Macaca fascicularis: one gene and its partner. The protein of the gene in region 2 interacts with the protein of the main gene of each other region in a pairwise test. Links are inferred from orthologs where the notes say so. Each region holds a gene or a part of one and is shown on either strand. Other genes may lie near its edges.

Region 1 (4,097 bases), about 37 Mb from region 2:
ATGGTGTGAACCTGGGAGGCGGAGCTTGCAGTGAGCCGAGATCGTACCACTGTACTCCAGCCTGGGTGACAGAGCGAGACTCGTCTCAAAAAAAAAAAAAAAAAAAGATGGTAATATGAAATGCCCCAGCTGTACTCTGACTCTTGAGATTTAGAGGAAAACCGATTTCAAATCCAGATAAGCTTGGAGCTTCTTGGATCCCCACAGAAAGACACACACTGTACTCCAGCCTGAGCGACAGAGCAAGACTCTGTCTCTAAAAATAGAAGAAAAGAAAAGAAAGACAAATACAGGGGGCTCTTAGGAGAACCATCATCATCATGGATAAGAAAGAGATAGTCAAGTAATGTGAACATGCAGAGACCATGAACATCCAGAGACCATGAATTTGAGATAAGGCTCTGAAATTCCTTTCTTTAGCAGAGATGACAACAATTGTCCCAAACAAAATGATCCTTTCTCCCCATAAAGTTTTGTTCCATCTCTTTGGGCATTTCCTAGGACACCCAGCACATAACTTGGGGTGTGTGTGTGTGTGTGTGTGTGTGTGTGTGTACTGAAGGTGAATAACACACAGTACAGCCCTCTGCTTGTTGGACTTGGTAGAAGACAAAATGAACTGTGAAAGGAACGCAATAAATAACAGAGTATCATCCCAGAAGGGAAAACTGTAGAAAGAATAAGACTAGAGTTTGGTGAGAACATGAAAACAGAACTGCCTTTTGTGGCACATCCCCCAAAGCAAAGCAAGATAAGTCTGATTTGCTGTCTCTGATCCTTGACCTTCCTAAATGAAATATGAGTAAGGTATGTACGGGAGGATTTATACTTCTTAAACTGCTGAACAGCTTCCATATTTTAAAATATGAACATATTATTTTTGTAATTAAGAAATGTAGTGATGGCCGGGTGCAGTGGCTCATGCCTGTAATCCCAGCACTCTGGGAGACCGAGGCGGGCAGATCATGAGGTCAAGAGATTGAGATCATCCTGGCCAACATGGTAAAACCCCGTCTCTACTAAAAATACAAAAATGAGCTGGGCGTGGTGGTGCGCGCCTGTAGTCCCAGCTACTTGGGAGGCTGAGGCAGGAGAATCTCTTGAACCTGGGAGGTGGAGGTTGCAGTGAGCCGAGATTGCACCACTGCACTCAAGCCTGGCGAGAGAGTAAGACTCCGTCTCAAAAAAAAAGAAATGTAGTGATAAAATATATTGGTAGAGAAGGGGAAAAGGAGGAAGCACAGTAAGGGAAAATCCAATAGGCTCCAATCTATGAGGGACTAAGAAGGCTAGCAGACCATTAAAAGTATGCAGGGAGGAGGGTACTCCACTCTTCTTTTTTTTTTTTGTTTTTGGAGACAGGGTCTCATTCTGTCGCCTAGGCTGGAGTGCAGTGGCAAGATCGTGGCTCACTGTACCCTCGAACTCCTGGGCTCAAGTGATCCTCCTGTCTCAGCCTCCCAAAGTGCTGGGATTACAGACGTGGGCTACTGCACCTCTGTATCTTTTTCTCTACTCACCATCTTCCCCAGATACTTCATAGTTTACCCAACTTTTTAACAGCACAGAAATCTGGGCTTTTGAAGTAGACAAAGAACAAGGGGTGATGCCAAGCTTTTGAAATGGAATTTCTCACTCTTCCCCAAATCTCTTCCTCAGTGATATCACCTCATAGTTTCGGACCTGTTAACTCCATTACCTGCCTGGGAAATACCCAAGTCAAGTCTAAGTCCCACAAAAGTTTCACCAACTATAATCAGAAGATTTCCTGATGGCTGAGGATCTCTAAGCCCTTTTCCCATGTAGATAATGAAATAGATTCTCAGTTCTAGGAGACACGGTATTCACTATAGACCACATTATTAAGTGGGAAAGAAGTGGACAAAACATGCCCCCAATCCAACTCTTGGCTCTTTCATAGGACAGGAAACAGTAAGTTAAGAAACAGACCGCAATATAGACCAGTTATGAAGCCAAGAGAAAGTGTAGGGGCTGAGTTTGGAGCAGCCAACAGTCATGGAAAAAAAAAAAATTACTTTGATCTTCATCCCTACCCTGGGAGTTTTAAAAAGCTTCAAATTACCACATCTAAATACTAAAGGGAACAAAAGAGTGTGTACTCCCAAGACCCAGAGCCTCCAGCCCACCCTTCAGCATTCCCAGAAGCTCCCATAACTGATTCAGGCCCTGCTTCCATTACTTCAACTACCTTAGTCTTCTAGATTAATACAGCCTTCTTCATTTTCCCCAGTTCTCCCTCACTGAACCCAAATCTCTCTCAGCTCAACACCATAGCACCCTCAGTTCTTTTTACAATAGGCACTTTCCCTGAAAAGAACGCTTCTTTCCAACTAAGAACCCTTCTCAGGCCCTTCCAATGAACCTCTCTGGAGAGACCCAGCTCAAGTCACCCCCGGGGCTCGGGCGACAGGTCTGACCCCTCCTCACCTCCCAGCAAATGGGCTTACCTCACCCGCTGCCCTGTCCCTTTCCCCAGCTCCTCCCTCTTCAGCGCTGCTTAATGAGGCCTGCCCCTCCCCTCACTCAAGCACCGAGCCTCCAGCGCCCGGCCCTCGGCCTGGCCGCCGCCACAGCCAGCCGCCTTCCCGACTCACCAACTTCGGGGTCCCAGCCCGCCCAGTCCCCTCCTCAGCGCCCCCATTAGGCCTGCCGGAGCCCGGCCCCCTGCTCCCCTCTCCGGTGGGCCACTCTAACCCCTCGCTTAGGACCACACCCGCCTCCGCTCTCAGGCCAGGTTGCTCTCATCTCCTGGGCGCTTCCGCCCCTGCCCTTTGGGGTCCATCAGCTCGGTACCTGGGGCTCCGTCTCCCCCGTCGGCCCCAAGCCTGTGTCGAACAGACAAACAGCTGCAGCTCAACCAAACCCTCCTGCCCCTCCTTCTCCTCCTCGCCCTGGGGCGGGGGTTCCAGCCAATAGCTCGATTACCCGCCTACCATCGGGGGGTGGGCTATATGTGCACTCATCCACCAATCCTCTGGAGAAAGGCGGGTCTCTTTGGGCGCTGTCACCAACAAGTACGAGCAAGGGACTCGACAGGCGGGGCCACAAACCAATAGCAAGGGAGAAACCTCGAAGATGGACGAGGTAAGGAGCCATTAAAGAGCAAGCTCCTGAAGACAGGGGGCGGTACAGTGCCGACAGGCGTATGTATCCACCAATAAAATCTCGACACCCCATGACCCCGCCTTTTGACTCATAAACATCTAATCAGGTGAGTGAAGGAGGCGGGTCAAAGTGAAACTTTAACCAGTACTACGAAAATACGGGACTTGACTGGCAGGCGAGGGGTTGACAGGAGCCTTAGGAAGGCCTCTATTGACCTTCGCCCCTCCCCCTGGACTTGGCCGGGGCTGGCTCTAGTGCCCCGCCTTCTATGACAAATTCGCGGGCGTAAAGGGAAATACCTCTTCTAGGGATCCGGAGCCTGGGAATTTAAGTAACCCTGACATCAGCGCTTCCTCCCTTTAGTGAGGCTTCAGGGGACAGGAGTATTTGGGGTGGCCGGCGGGCGGTCTGAGATGTTTTTTGTTGGAGTGAGACAATGGCAACTACAAGAAGTGGTAGCTTGGAGACGCTTTTTCAGAATCGTATGTAAATGTAAATAAAATAATCTTTGGAAAACTTTGCTGTTTGTGATATGAAACAGAAAGGAAAAAGGGCGGGCTTACTGGGAAATGCAGTGTCGAGAGGCAAATTCCCCGGGAGCCCTTTTCCTGCCGCTATGTATGTGCATGGGGGTGTGTGTGTGTGCATATATGGTGTGTATGTGGTGTGTTGTGTGTGTGTGGTATGTTGGCTGGGGGAAAGGAAGTTTGCTGGTGTGTGGAGAAAGTAGGAAGTATATAGACTTCAGTTTCCCCAGCCATAAATAGGAACGATAATAACCACTTTGTTCACTGTCAGCACTAGCCAAAATGGGGTGGGGTGGGTGGCCATGCACAGAGAGATTAGGAAAAGGGGTCCGAAATCAATGATCACATATACATATTCATATTCTGTTTCTCACCATTCTTTCAGTAAATAGGAAAGAGATGAACTATAAAACTAGGCACATTTTTTTAATGAACTACAAACTA
Region 2 (3,650 bases):
AACAATTACGGTGCTGTTCTTATTGTCTATATTCTTGCCAATTTGTTCCTCTGGTTGTTCTATCAGTTTCTAAGAAAGAGATATTATAATTTCCAACTATGATTGTGGACTCATGTATTTCTTCTTTGAGTTACTTAAAAAAAACAAACAAGAAGTTTCACAGTGACTATGTAAGCCTCTATTTCTGTTTTGCCTTCTTTGTTTCACATAATCTTATGATTTTGTAATTAATTTTGAAAAAGTTAAGCAGCATATAAATAAATATACTGAGTCTTAATTTTAGGGTTGCTTGACAGGGATTTTAACTACATTAAAATGGTAAAATAATATTAGTGTAATGACTTTTCCATTTGGATCATTAAAAATCAGGGAGGCATAGTATCTTGTGAACCTATTAAGCTTTAACATCTTTTCTAGCTATTTTTAAGGAGGTAAAAGTGTGTTTCTAGAACTAAAAAATCAGATTTTGAGGTATAAATACAGTTTTGATTTTGTATTAATACACAATTTCAAATACTTTATTAGTACATCTTTTAACAACCTCCCTTTAACATATTGTTGAATTATTTTTATTGGTTTTAAATTTATTCTGATTACATTGGAACTAGTGTGCATTCTAGAAATGCTGTTACTTAGCATCTGGTTTTGACTTTAAAAATGGCTGTTATTTATACTGTATCGGGGGTTTTGCTGTATAATTTGCATAGTTTCTTTTATGAAAACAATAAAAGTCTATAGCTTTCTAAAGCTATAACTTTATTTCTTCATTCTTGTTGCTTTTTTCATTTGTGTATAAGAGACCTATATTAAGGAACAAATGATAACAAATCCTTTGTATAATCTGCTAGGTTCTAGGGTTAAAGTAAATCATTTGTCTTCCCTCTATATTGTAAATAAAATATTTCTTTTATTTTTTTACTTTTATTTTTTTCTAGGTTAACCATAAATATTTTGAAGTTTAAGAACTGTCACACATAATGTGTTTCATGTTTTCAAGGAAAGAGACAAAGTTCTCTCTGTTGAGAACTAACATAATAAATAGATTCTTTATGGAAAAACGTTTCTGGCTGTTATAGACTAAAGGGTCTGTGATACATAGTTTTTTTCCCTGGGAATTAGTTGTAGTGGACAAAAATGCATTAAGTCAGGAAGCTTAGATAGTTTTGTCTTCACTACTAACTTATATGACTTGGGAAAAATAATCTACATCTGTTAAATGAGCAAATGAGATGTTCTAAAGTATTTTTCAGTGGTATGATTTTATGAAATTAGATTTTACTTGTGAACTATACGAAAAAAGTTTCAGAACTCAGTAATTGTTTATCATTAATTTTGAATGGTAAATTAGAAATAGTAAATTATGTGTTATTTAAAAAGTTTTTAAAAAATATTTAGAGTATCCAGTACAAGATTGGATCTACAGAAAAAATCTCAAGCCCTTGAAATTATCAAGCCAAAGCTTACCAAGCAAGAGGAAGAAAAAAAAGTCCTGAAACAGGAATTTGAAACTTTAAGTCAAGAAGCAAAGATTCAGCACGAGGAATTGAATAACAGAATTCAAACAACAGTAACAGAACTACAAAAAGTGAAAATGGAGAAAGAAGCTTTAATGACAGAGCTTTCTACAGTAAAGGAGAAACTGTCAAAAGTTTCTGATTCTTTGAAACACTCCAAAAGTGAATTTGAAAAGGAGAATCAGAAAGGAAAAGCCGCTATATTAGACTTGGTTAGTAGTTTACATTTACTTTCTTAAGTAGAAGTGATTATTTTATTTAAAATGTACTTATTTTTCTGCTTAATTCACAGTTTGCTTCTCTTTCCACATTTAAATAATTTAAAGCAGTTCTTATGAGGAAATAAATTGGGATTGCTTAACCTGAGAAGAAGCCCAAGATAATAATGTGGGTGTGTATGCACCTGTGAGCACACCATTTTCTGAAGGCCAAGAATATTTTCAGTTGAATATCACAGTCTTTCTCATGTGTGTTATGTTCCTTCCTGTTTGGTGAAAACATTTTCTATCTGTACACTTTTCCTATTGTGATCACTTTTTAATTTATTGTTTTCTAAGTTTTCTTGCTTCCATTTTCTTGAAGCCCATTGCTGTAAAAGTAGTGTGGCAAGTTAATTACAATGAATTGTGTGACATAAAATGTGATTTCTAAAGTGTTCTAAGATATCATCTTAATATTGTTTAAAATATGTCATTGTGACTTGGTTGATGATCAAAACCCTTAGTGTTTTGTTGTCCCTCCTCCATTATTTCTGTAATATTTTCCTAGTTTTATCATTGAAATGGATGATCCTGTCTCAGCTCATCGATAATTTTAGTTTATTTCCTCGTGTGTTTCTTACTAAGGTTATAAACTAAACTTCTTAAGGTTATTACAAATATTTTTTATGTAATATAGTTTTCATTTTTTTTAAGGAGAAAACTTGCAAAGAATTAAAGCATCAACTTCAAGTGCAGATGGACGACACACTTAGGGAACAGAAGGAACTGAAAAAGTCACTTGAAAAAGAGAAGGAGGTAAGATTTTCTTTTTTCTGTAACATAAATGTATAATATTTTCAAATAAATATATAAAGTATGTTTGTTCTTGGCAGCATTTCCACAGATAATTTTTTTTATAGTTTTAAGAAAATTAAACATTTTCACATTGATATTTAGGTCATAGGTTTATTTCTCTGAAATATAACAAATCATGTATATAGTTTAAAACTGTTATTTGTATTTTACCTACTATTAAAAAGACTTAAGCTAGTTTATAATCAAAGGTCCAAATAAAGAAATATAATTAATAAAGGTAGAAAATTGAGTCAGCTAACTACAGAGTTAAGGACCATTTTTATGGTTGAAAAAAAAATCTTCAAAGGCTTTCCATAGAAATGACCTTTATTTCATGGACTCTTATGGCTCTTTAATTCATGGACATTTATACTCATACTAATGTATACTTGATAATGGTTGTAGAACAACCAAAATGTTTTTCTGTAGTTAGCGCTTCTGTTGTTTCCAGCAAAAACAGACAAGCAAACGAGTAAACAAACGGATATAATATATGGTTGTTACTCTCTGAAGCCATACCTGCGAGCTGCTAGAGTCCAGGCATGCAACTTTCTAGAAAATCGGATTTGATAAAGGAGCAAGACATAGTACTGACAAGTATTTGATGTGATTGTATTCTAGTTGTTGATTGAAAGCAGACTTGTGTTGTAGATGCCAGCCATGTAAGTAGCAAAATTATAATTGCTTCATGCCCAAGTTCTGAATCAAGATTGTCCAAATAATTGCTTCATGCCCAAGTTCTGAATCAAGATTGTACAAATTTATATTCTGGCTATGCCATTTATTAGCTATGCCATTTTGCCATCTTTTAGACCAAATACTTAATCTCTGTGCTCTGGTTTCTATATGATAGAGTCTACATGAATCTGTGTGATAGAGTTATTATGAGAAATAAATGTGTTAATATCTTTAAAGTACTCAGGACACTGACTATAATGCAGTAAATGCTCATACTAGTTATTATTTTGTCCTTGGTTATCATATCATATCATCCTTATTGTCATACTGTTTGACTCCTGTTTTGCATAAAAATATTTGCTATTCATTGTGGAGATAAGCTGAGAGGTCTATGTATAACAGT

The links. The genes of interacting proteins can lie anywhere in the genome.
Region 1: the proteins of EEA1 (region 2) and RAB5B interact in binary tests that used the Homo sapiens proteins (3 or more experiments, as listed by UniProt). The link is inferred for Macaca fascicularis from reciprocal best matches to the Homo sapiens genes EEA1 and RAB5B.

The regions. Positions count from the first base shown.
Region 1 is NC_088385.1:62,753,811-62,757,907, reverse strand, and holds the start of RAB5B (ras-related protein Rab-5B), read right to left. Parts: upstream 2,881-4,097; 5' UTR 2,815-2,880; exon of another isoform or gene 2,735-2,814; intron 1-2,734. UniProt on the Homo sapiens protein: The small GTPases Rab are key regulators of intracellular membrane trafficking, from the formation of transport vesicles to their fusion with membranes.
Region 2 is NC_088385.1:99,818,855-99,822,504, reverse strand, and holds part of EEA1 (early endosome antigen 1), read left to right. Parts: intron 1-1,395; coding exon 1,396-1,726; intron 1,727-2,428; coding exon 2,429-2,530; intron 2,531-3,650. UniProt on the Homo sapiens protein: Binds phospholipid vesicles containing phosphatidylinositol 3-phosphate and participates in endosomal trafficking.